3 linked regions of the Rattus norvegicus genome follow. The protein of the gene in region 2 interacts with the protein of the main gene of each other region in a pairwise test. Links are inferred from orthologs where the notes say so. Each region holds a gene or a part of one and is shown on either strand. Other genes may lie near its edges.

Region 1 (3,747 bases), on a different chromosome or scaffold from region 2:
TTCCTCTCCACCTCAAAAATCAAATCCCTTAGCATCCAGGCTGCATCTGCTTCAGACCAGAGGTTGGAAGTCATGCTTTGAAGGGGCTGTCCCTTCTCTTGCTTGAGAACTCAGTTCTAGGGTCCTGATCCTGGACTCTAAATTCAGTTTCCACCACTGGCCTTCAGAGTCTGCTTCTCACCAACCAACCAAGAAATAAACTCAAGAGCCTCCTTTTCTCTTCAGAGCATGACCTCCACACACACACAGGGTCAGCCTTAGCACTCCATCCCCTTGTTATTGGCTCTGCACCTCAGGGATTCCCTTCCGTGTTTCCACCTCGAGGAGCTATGTCAGGGCCTATCTGAAAGTTTGTAGGTAATGGCTCTTTTGTACTGCGGCTGTGGTTCCTCCCCACCACTGCCTTAGTTTTTCCACCTCATCAGCTCTGCGGTGCTGTCTTCTACAGCGATATCTCCCGTTTTTTTGTTTTGTTTTGTTTTGTTTTTTTTTTTAACTCGGGTTGACTCGGGGCTCCCTCCTCTCCCAAAGGACATGCGCTGCAGAAAAATTAAAATTTTATACATATGACACCCAGTTGTCTGTCCATGACTCTCAAGCCGCAGGACCAATTGGGGGGAGGGGGGGAGGAAGATTAGGCCAAGTTTTTGTGGCGATAGCCAAAGCACTCTAGGACGGATCCCTGGGCTGGGGCCACACCCCATGGACCCGCCCCATCTCTCAGTCCTCCAGTCCTGTTCCCTCCAAATATGAAAGTCTCTCCGCGTATAGATCAGGGAACCCGTGGGAGACAGAATAACTCTCTGGGAGGGGAGCGAACTCCCAAAGCTATTCGCCTCAGACCCCAGGGCCTGGCAGCCGCCTTCTCTGCCACGGTAACAAAGACTAGCCAGGGAAAGAAAAGGCGTGGGGAGGAGCAGCTAGAGATGGGAAGGGCGGGTCCGACTCCAAGCAGCTGCCGCTTCCTCTCCATGTCCCTTAGGGGGCCTGAGTCACGGGCCGCCGCCCCGGGTCGGCCTATTGGAGCACTGGGGTCTGGACACCCCGCTTCTCTAGGGCTGCAAGGAAGGAAGCGGGTGAAGGTCTCAGGAGACAGACAACCGAGAAAAAGGGGATTGCTACGGCGGGAGAGAAGTCCCACCAGAGTCCCACGCGGGAAGGAGGGCAGCGAAGCCCCGCCCTTCGCCGGGCTCCTCCCTGCGCCCCCTTCCTTCGCCCCATTGTCCGTAGACAAAGCGGTCGCCGCCCCCGGCTGGCCCCCTGTCTGCGTCTCCGTCCCTCCTCCTGGGTTCCCCCTTCCCTCCTCCTCTGTTTCCCTCCCTCCCTCCGGATCTCCCTTCGCCTCTCTCCTCCTCTTCCTCTCTCCCGACGCCCGACTCCACTGCACCTCCTCCTAGGGACCCCAAGGCGTGTAAGTTGACTGTAGGGCTCCCACTTTAAGGGAAGTGCCTCGTGGCTCTAAATCTCCCTTGGAGTGCCTCCCCTTTGTGCACAGATTGTCCGTTCAGTCCTCTCGGGTGCACGTCCCACTGGGTCAAGGTCCCCTGAGAGCCGGGTCCCTGGTTGGGGGACATCAGAGGCGCGATGCGGGTCCTCGTCGCGCCCGTGTTCTGGGGGCGCATCTGGTGGAGAGGCCGGCGAGATTGTAGGGACTGGACGCGGGTGGACGCCAGGGTTCTGGGAATGCATAGGCTGCCACACTTGCTCGGGTACCAAAAGTCCCCGAGGAGGGTATTTCCCCTGACCCGCCTCGGGGGCGGGATAGGCAAGTGGGGTAGGGGCCGGGCTGAGGGGCGGGGCCGAGCGCCGCTGGGAAGGCAGCCGGGACCTGCCGAGGCCCCGCGCGCAGAGGCGCCGGCGCCCTTGCCCGTTTCCCCGTCTCCCCTTCTCCCCTGGACCTCTGTCCTCCTCATCTAGCCTCACCTCCTCACATCTCGTCCGACCTCTTCGCCCCTCGCCTGCTGCTTCTCTCTTCCCATTTATCTCCCCTGGGTACCGGGGAAGCAGTCTCGACTGAACCCTCTCACTTCTCGGCCCCGGCTCCTCCGGCTCCTCGCTCTCCTGCTTTTCCTTACCTCCCCTTTTCATATCTCAGGGACCGTCTGGTGCCCACAAACCCCAATCTGGCTCTGCCTCTGCCCGGAATCTCGACTCTTCCTCTCCCATTATCCCCACCCCCAACTTGGCACCCGGCTTTTCTCCTCACTTTTTCAGTTCCTGACTCTTTTGCCCTCCTTCCTCTCACGGCCTTCCTCTATTTTCATTCTTAACTCTACAGTCCCTCTCTGCCCTTCTTAGTTCCTTCCCTCATCACTTCCTCCCTCCCCCCACCCCCATTCTCAGTCTCTGGGCTTCTCTGAAGCTCACCCTTCCTGTTCCCGTCCCCCAATACTCTCTCCTTCACTTCCAGCGACCATGACCGCTATCCCAGATTGGAAGCTACAGTTGCTAGCCCGGCGGAGGCAGGAGGAGGCAGCGGTTCGTGGCCGTGAGAAAGCAGAACGGGATCGCTTATCCCAGATGCCAGCCTGGAAGCGGGGAATTCTGGAACGACGCAGAGCCAAGTTGGGCCTACCTCCTGGAGAGGGGAGCCCTGTGCCTGGGAATGCAGAGGCTGGACCTCCAGACCCGGATGAATCTTCTGTCCTTTTGGAGGCTATTGGGCCAGTACATCAGAACCGATTCATCCAACAGGAGCGACAGCGGCAGCAGCAGCAGCAGCAGCAGCGAAACGAGGTGCTTGGTGATAGGAAGGCTGGGCCTCTGGAGGCTCTAGAACGGAGATCAAGTCCTGGTAATTTAAGAGATCAGAGCCCTAAGGGAAGAGAGTCAAGAGAAGAGAGGCTAAGTCCCAGGGAGGCCAGAGATAGGAAGCTGGTGATAGGAGGAACCCAAGAGTCAAGTTCGAGGTCTTTGGAGACTGGAGACTGGAGGCAGAGCCCAGCAGAGGCCAGAGACCTGGATTCCAGACCAGCTGAGGCTCAGAAATGGAGGCTGAGCCCTGGAGAAACTCCAGAGGAGAATCTGAGATTAGCAGGTTCTGGAGATCACAGTCCCAAGAGAAAAGAGGTATTGGAAAGCAGACTGAGCCCTGGGGAGTCTGGCGACCAGAAGACCAGTCTGACAGAGGCCCATAAATGGAATCTTGACTCAAGAGAAGCCCAGAAACAGAGCTTGGTACAGCTGGAGGCCACGGAGTGGAGGCTGAAGTCAAGTGAAGAGAGAAAAGACTACTTGGAGGAGTGTGGGAGTGAGGAAGAGAAATTGGGTTCAGGGATTGCCCCAGACCAGCCTTCAGTGACAAAGGAGGTTCAAGACACCACCTCTAGAGAAGTGGAGACTGCCGAGCAGAGGCCCACTGAAGGCTGGAAATGGACCCTAAACTCTGGGAAAGCTCGAGAACGGACACCTTGGGACATAGAGACGCAAATTCATAAGGCAGATCCTCCAGCATCTTCAGAGAAGCACCCGGGACCTTCTGCTGTGGAGGCTGGAGGGGAGGCTGAGAAGGAGGAGGCGGGGGCTCAGAGCAGGCCTCTGAGAGCCCAGCAGAACCGCTGCTCTGGGCCCTCCCCCCTCCCACCAGAGCACTCTGGGACGGAAGGCTCCAGACAGCAGGAAGAGGAAGCGGCAGAACCCCGGCCCCCAGCACCAGCCCCTCTGTCTCCCCCACCCTCGGCCCCAACTGCCCCCCAACCCTCTGGGGATCCCCTCATGAGCCGTCTGTTCTATGGGGTGAAACCAGGA
Region 2 (3,747 bases):
TGAATAAACAAATGGTCAGCAAAATGGCTCTAGAGCAGTCAAGAAAGATTTTACTTGAATCCAGCCAAACCCACTCATTTATGTATTAGACATGGCTGTTTTTGAGATGCAATGACTGAGGTGTTGTGATTTAGCTTGTGTAAATTAACAAAGCTAAAAATACTTATTACTGGCCCCTTTCAGAAAGTTTGCTAAAATCTGACTTGAATTCAACTGTTCCAAGGGCCCCTTATACCTCTTTTAACCTGGATAAGTCTTTCAAAGGTATAAAGTATACAATATAACCTTAGACAAAATTAAGGCTAAAGATCAATTTACTGAGTATATCCAAAGCAGTGTGACTGACACACTGGCACAAGTATTTCTCTCTGGAAAATCCTCCCAAAGCTGATATGATACATTGTATGTTTAAGTTTAGTCTACACAAGATCACTGAGAAGTTTCTTCATCCTGTTTTCAAGCAAGAGGTGTCAAGATCGCACTCACTCAGAGACAGGATGGAGCTAAATGATAGGAATGACAGACACCAAGGGGAAATGCTCTGCTTAGAAGTTTTCATTACACCCTTGCCAAGGCTATCCTGATGCAATGCCTCTCTGCAGGCTGGAGACCTGGACCCTTACCAGGAGCTCAGCTCGTGCCTGCTCCCCCTGTGCCCTCCGTCTCTTCTTCAAGTCTTTCACTCTTCTTAGGTGGTCCAGCCGATTCTGGATTTGCTCCTGAAGAAAGTAAACAGTCAGCCAATTCAGAATTTTGCAGATCTCAGCATCAAAATAGCTACTCTGCTTATGACACAGGAACCCAAACTACAGATGCCAAGGCCGGGCTGGACTCTGTCCTCAGACCACAGTGCCATTCCTGGGAAGAGCCTAAAGCACAGGGTCCAGCACAGCTGTTTTAGAAATTTGTTAAACTCAAGCCACCTACCAGTTCCTAGAAGCATTCTGCACAGGTTATGAGACATCTGGGTAAAGAGGCTCAAAAGGTAAGCTATTCCTCAGACGAATACAGAAAAAAATGATTTATTTTCCTCATGCACAGAACTGGTAAGCATTACTAAATTACAACTTTATTTCCAGTGAGTGAAATGATACAGCTTTGTAAACGTGACTGACATTTGGATGAACTCACATTTAAACAAATCTAACTGTTGGTACATATCCCTGCAGTCCTCAAAACAGACTCATTATCACTTGAGAGTTACTTTATATGTAACATTTTCGAATTACTGTGTAGCTGTGCCAGTGTTTATTCAACAAAGGCCTCTTCAGGTCCTGTGAGTTCACTTCCTCTTCATTAAGTTATCTCCCGAGTCTGAGAGTGGCTAAATGATTTACTCAAGCAGTAAAGAGCTCTGTTCATTTCCATTAGGTTCTAAAACAGGTTACAGGGAAGCGCTGGGGGCTTAGATTAAGTGATAGGCATCGGTCGATGTGAATTCGGCCAGCCAACAGGGGCTGTCTGGTTTGATATCCTGGGCCAGAGCAAGTTCGAGGTGTTCAAGGCCTATGGAAGTGGACATGGCTCCATGTGCATCTCCTTTGTCAAGGGAGGGTCTCCTCGCGCCGTCCCAGCCGCGGCACGCGTTGAGGCAGTTAACAGGGGGCGCTCGGAGAAGGGGTGGGGGTGGGGACGCCTCTGGCCTCGCCAGCTACAGGTTCTCCTTCCGAGTCTGAGCGCGGAGGCTCCGCAGCCGACAGGGAGGAAATGACGGCGGTGGGCCCCACGTCCGGCTCGCCATTTTCTCGGCGGCAAACCAGGAAGCCCCCGGCTCTCCTCTTTGTCCGCCGGCCCGGCCCTACCTTGAAGCCTTCCACAGCCTCCTCCAGCGGCAGCACGCTGTGGCCACGGTGCTCGCGCGAGCGGTCGCACACCACGCAGATGGGCATCTGGTCCTGCTCGCAGTACAGCTTCAGAGGCTCGCGGTGCTTCTCGCACACGCCCATCTCGCCGTCCGGCCCCGACGGCCGCTCGGTGCGCAGTTGCTTCACCAGCTGGGTCACGTTGGCCAGGTGCCGGTTGGGCCGCATGTGGCGCTGCGGGAAGGTCTCCCGGCACTGCGGGCACGACACGTTAGTCTCCGCGGCACCCCAGCAGCGGGCCAGGCACGCGCAACAGATGTTGTGGCCGCAGTCGAGCATCATGGGTTCCACAAAGTATTGAAGACACACGGGGCAGGTGGTCTCCTGCTGCAGGGACTCGGCCACGCTCCCTGAGGCCATGGCGCGAGCCGGCTGGGCCGCAGGGCATGAGCCCGGAGCCGAGCTCTGGCAGAGCCCGGCGCTCTCTCTCGGCTTCTCAGATCCGGAGCGGGGTGGGGCCTCCGGCGCGGGGATCCTAGACGCGTGCGGAGCTCTGGGGCGGCCAGACCCGTCCCCGCACAGCTGCACCTCACGGACAGCGCGGGAAGGCCTGGGCCCCAGGGCCCGGCTGAGAGCCGAGCAGAGGGGTGTCGGGAACCCGGCGCTGCAGGATGGCTCACCGGGCAACGTGGCCGCGTCGGAAGGGATCCCAGGGCCGCGCAGACTCCTAAGGGCCGAGCGGAAGAGGTGGGCCGGGGGCGGGGCCTGGCTTCCCGCGCCGCTCTCCTCCGGGGCGGGAAGGCGGGTTTCCTCGGCGCAGTCCTGGAGCCCCGGTACCCAGCCCGGGAGTCGGTGGTGGTTGCCCTTTGCAGTGGGAGCAGGGTGTCCCTGGCAGTGGGGTCGGGATACTCTAAGCTTTGGTGGATCCGTAGTCCTTTGCCGGGTGTCTTCTTAGTGCCTAGGCCTTGGCTCCTTTAAATGCAAGGTGGCTTTGCATAAGTGCCGGAAAACTGGGCTGAGAGACCAGCTAAGCCCCTCCCAGTGTGTGAAGCACTCTGAAACACACCCAACTCCAGGCGATAATAATCGCCAGAAAAAGGTTTTATTATCAGCAACTTTTCTCAGTGGCAGAAATGGAGAAGCCCACTTCTACTTCCACCCTAAAGTAAGTTTGTTTATCGTTCCGAGCCTCATTTTCTTCTCGCGTGAAATGGGGGATTGATAGAATCCAGACCAGAGTGCTCACCAGACCCTGATACCTACTGAAGTCCTTCCCCTTCTCTCTAGCCTTCCGGCTACTAGGGAGCTGCCTCACCGAGAGCCCGCTTGTGAGTCCCTAACTTCTTAACAGGCTCCTCTGGTGCCCAGTTTCTCACTTCCTCAAGTGAAGTAGCCAGACCAGACATATCAAAGAGCTACTTGATGACACACTTCTTCCCTACCACCTGCTGAGGAAGGAGCCTGGCCGCGGGTTCCTATGAGACCCTAGAAGAAACGACCCTGATTCTGCCACGTGGGCTTCATTCTCGAACACTCCCCAGCCCCCACCTCCCCCTGGCGCCTGTGGCGCGGCCAGAAATTCTGATTGTCCACCGCCTATCTGCCTATGGCGCTAATAAAGTTCTTACTCCCAGCAGTCTGTTTCAGTGTCTTCCTTGAGCCCCCATACACTGTTGCTTTCAGGAATTTTCCCCATCCGTGAGTTAAACTTTTTAAAACACAGCTTGAGCCATAAAGATTTTTATCCATTAGTTTAAATGAAGTGTCCAGTGCATTGAACGGCATTGAGTAGAACCTAAAACTTGCTTGTTTCTGCCCAATTGAGAATTCTGCGACGACCCGAGGAGGTCTTGTAGGCTAGCTTCTTATCACAGAATAGATTTGCAGTTCTGTGCCCTGTCACTTCTGCCGTGGCCTTTCCTACTCTCCTTTGGGATTGACTCAG
Region 3 (3,647 bases), on a different chromosome or scaffold from region 2:
TGTGCCAAATGGGATCAAAATATCAGCTTTATTAAAGGTAAAGTTGGAATAGAGACTGTAGGCTGGGCTTGAAGCAGTATTGGTTCTCCCCTGCACTGTGAATTGGCCTAGGACTAGAAGAGTCTAAGAATATAAATTTGCCACTGTCCACCCAGGGAATTAGAATGTGAGTTCCTTTCTCTTGGTAGGAAAGAGAAAAGAGGAAACGAATCCTCTGAGAGCTTTCATTCTTTCTCTGATGATGACAGAAAGGTAAGGTGTATCCTAAGTGTCTAAGGAGGACCCAGCAGTAAGGTAGAGATAAAGAAACTTAAGTGTAATATCTTAAACTTTGATATTTTATTTATATAAAATTTAAAGAAGACTGGGAAAAACTTTCATATTTTAATTGGTGAAGCTTTTGTTGGCAATAACACTATAACTTGTAGAGGGGGTCTAGTAGTGTGTTCACTGAAATGATTCTGGTATAGTTCACAAAACCTAGAGAGGGGATCAAGCACTGAGTGTTTGGAAAGAACCAAAAAACCTTAGCTCACAGAAGCAATGGCACGTTAAGCAGCAGCTGTCATTAGTCGTGTGTTTGTGTTTGCTTTGTTTCTGTTCGTCAGATAAGGATCAGTTCTAGTGAGGACTCCATTGCTTCAGCTTGCAGTGCTTTGCTCTTGCCACTCTCACTCAGAACGATAGGGACATAAGGAATTGCCTTTGAGATCCTCACCCCCTGACCCCTGCAGCCTGTAGTGAGGAGTGGAGCAGAAGAGGTATAGCAGGAAGAAACTGCTGAGCTGACCAAAGAGAAGTAACGTGCATTAATTCATTCAGCTCTTCATTCATTGAATGTCTCTTGTGTGTCATGTTAACTTCTGAGTAGTAGAGACACACAAAAGCCTTACTCAAAGGAAGTTTACAAACTACCCACAAGACCACAAGAACTATAGGACCAAAAGTCATTCATATATATATATATATAATTTCACCAGTGAGCTCTTGAGAGGATGCTGAGACCCTAATGTAGATGTACGGGCCACAGAGTTAGTGGAGCATAAAGCATTATCCGGAATCAATCAGTCTCTATGCCATTTGTGGCAGAAAGCATATGTAGTGGTGCTCCTCTAACAGGACACTTGACCAAGCTCAGGTCAGCCATGTGCTTTCTGTGGCCCATGTCACCAATGAAAACATTAATAAGACTTACAGGATCTCTGATTTGTTTTCTGAAGGTTTTATGTTTCGAGCTCTAACCTTTCTTTTGTGTGCATCTAAAGACAATTACATGGTGCATTTGTATATCCAAGAGTAAAATGATACATTTGAAAACACATTTAAGTATAATTAAAACGTGCTAGATACCGGTCTGTACTCAGGAATGGAAACAATCCTTGAAAATTAAACATATGTAAGTCCTTATTAAAAGTGTACACCCCACAGTAATCACTGCTAGACTGTTGTGCTTTAGAACATTTGATTCATACTATATTTTTCTTAATTCTTCAAAACTAGATTATAGCTTGCTTATTTTACTATGGCCTAAGAAGCTTAATGATATAGCATGTATCAGTGAAATATACCTGTCGTCTCCTTAAAGTAAACAGGTGGAGTATAGATGTAAAAGATATTTTTATTGCTTAGAGAATTGGGTTTTTGGTTGTTTTTTTTTTTTTTTTTTTGAGAATGCTGACAACTATGATACAGGTGTGTAAACTTTTATTTTTAAAGGTTCTTGATTTTTTTAAGGAAATTACCATTGTCTTCAAATAAGGAATATCATGTTCTTTTCTATATTTTAAAAGCCATCATAAAATATAGCAGGTGTGTATAGGTCACTGTGGTTGATACCTGTATGTCATGAAATCATTGCAACCAGTAACATCCACCATTCTCTTCTTGTACCACTAAGGAAATGAAGTGTAACAGAAAAGACCTTGCATAGATCCCTGTAAAGCCAAGTGTAATTTTATGCATTTTATTTGATTTTATTTTAGATGAGAGAGAGAGAGAGAGAGAGAGAGAGAGAGAGAGTATGTGTGTGTGTGTGTGTGTGTATTACAGTGAAAAATCAGAAAGCTTGTAATATAAAACTGGTATCTTAGGTATTTCTAATGCAATTCTATATTATTTTATGAGGAAATAAAACTAAAAGGGAACCATAGTTAATTGCCTCACCTAAACTGGACTGAAGCAAAGCACGGCGAGGATATCAAACCCTGGAGTCAGTAGTCAGGAGCCTATGATTCGAGTGCATCTCAGTGTTTACTAAACTGTGGTCTTTCACATCAGTTTCTTTTTGTGTTCCTGAAGAGGTGGCCATGAGGGAAGTAGCCACAGAGTTACCAAATACTGTCTGTTGTGAAAATGCCCTCGAAGCCTGTAGTGCTGTGTAAATGTGGTGCTCCCCGCTCTTGGTACATACATGTCATTCCATGCTGTGTACTCAGCAGATATGGGATACTGAATGAAATATACAAATATCTTAATATTATGAATTGAGTTCTAAAATAAGGTAAGTGTGTTTATGGTGATTTCTTTACCTTTATAACTATGTTGAAATTTGAGAAAATATGATATACTATATGTTTGAAACCTTGTTTATATCATGTATATATGAGTGTGCATATCTGTTTTTGAAAGGAATAGGTCCAGATGGTCATATCGCTTTCAATGAGCCAGGATCCAGTTTAGTATCAAGAACAAGATTAAAGACTCTAGCAATGGACACCATTTTAGCAAATGCAAAATATTTTGATGGAGATTTATCAAAAGTACCAACCATGGCTCTAACTGTTGGTGTGGGGACAGTGATGGATGCCAGGGAGGTAAGTAATGTTGTTTTGAATATTTTTCTTTGATGTTGAGTAATTATGGTGCTTAATATTTTAGATTCATCTAGTTTTCAATAAAAATGCTTAAAGGACAACATTTAATTAGAGCTGCCTCACTGGTTCTGAGGTTCAGTCCATTATCATCACAGCCGGAAGCATGGCAACATCCAGGCAGGCATGGGACTGTATGAACTGACAGCTCTACTTCTTGTTCAGAGGCAAACTGGAGCAGAATGGCTCTCACGTGGCTAGGAGGAGGGTCTCCAAGCCCACCACCACAGTGACACACCTCCTCCAACAAGGCCACACTTCCTGATAGTGCCACTCCCTGAGCCAAGCATATACAAACCACAACAGTAACTGTGGTTGTGTTGGCATTTGCGAAAGGGGTATAGAGAGAATGTCCTACATAGTTTTGGAGCCCATGGGATTGATTAATAAAAAGTGCTTTTGACTACACTTAGGAGGATTGGCTATATTGGTTTCCCATAGTTCAGTCCCCAAGGCGCACACGCTGGAAGGAGGGAGCCGATGGCTATAGACACACACAAATAAGTAAAAGTCCATTTAACATTCTTTAAAAGAAGCAGTAGTTTCAGTTGCCCTCTGAGGACTTCCTGTGAGATTTTGGCTAATGACCTAAGGGACTTTCATTCCTGCACCAAAGCTCCAAACATAATGAATCATTAGAGAAGCCCTGAATCGGCCTATAATGTGACTGCGTGCATGTGGTACACACCCACACATCTCATTTTGGTTGCTTCTGTAACAAATATTTCATTATTAGGACAGCACTGTGGGTAATAATGTTCGACAAGGAGAATTAAT

Evidence for each region.
Region 1: the proteins of Trim27 (region 2) and Ppp1r18 interact in binary tests that used the Homo sapiens proteins (3 or more experiments, as listed by UniProt). The two-hybrid records come from large-scale screens. The link is inferred for Rattus norvegicus from reciprocal best matches to the Homo sapiens genes TRIM27 and PPP1R18.
Region 3: the proteins of Trim27 (region 2) and Gnpda2 interact in binary tests that used the Homo sapiens proteins (3 or more experiments, as listed by UniProt). The link is inferred for Rattus norvegicus from reciprocal best matches to the Homo sapiens genes TRIM27 and GNPDA2.

The regions. Positions count from the first base shown.
Region 1 is NC_086038.1:2,889,949-2,893,695, reverse strand, and holds the start of Ppp1r18 (phostensin), read left to right. Parts: upstream 1-1,366; 5' UTR 1,367-1,411; intron 1,412-2,410; 5' UTR 2,411-2,415; coding exon 2,416-3,747.
Region 2 is NC_086035.1:48,243,836-48,247,582, forward strand, and holds the start of Trim27 (zinc finger protein RFP), read right to left. Parts: upstream 2,223-3,747; coding exon 1,803-2,222; intron 1,271-1,802; exon of another isoform or gene 1,132-1,270; intron 1,066-1,131; exon of another isoform or gene 928-1,065; intron 720-927; coding exon 624-719; intron 1-623. Other genes in the region: uncharacterized protein LOC134482717, read left to right, coding at 2,221-2,549, 3,154-3,190. UniProt on the Homo sapiens protein: E3 ubiquitin-protein ligase that mediates ubiquitination of various substrates and thereby plays a role in diffent processes including proliferation, innate immunity, apoptosis, immune response or autophagy.
Region 3 is NC_086032.1:38,884,610-38,888,256, forward strand, and holds part of Gnpda2 (glucosamine-6-phosphate isomerase 2), read left to right. Parts: exon of another isoform or gene 1-37; intron 38-188; exon of another isoform or gene 189-2,628; coding exon 2,629-2,813; exon of another isoform or gene 2,814-3,278; intron 3,279-3,647. UniProt on the Homo sapiens protein: Catalyzes the reversible conversion of alpha-D-glucosamine 6-phosphate (GlcN-6P) into beta-D-fructose 6-phosphate (Fru-6P) and ammonium ion, a regulatory reaction step in de novo uridine diphosphate-N-acetyl-alpha-D-glucosamine (UDP-GlcNAc) biosynthesis via hexosamine pathway.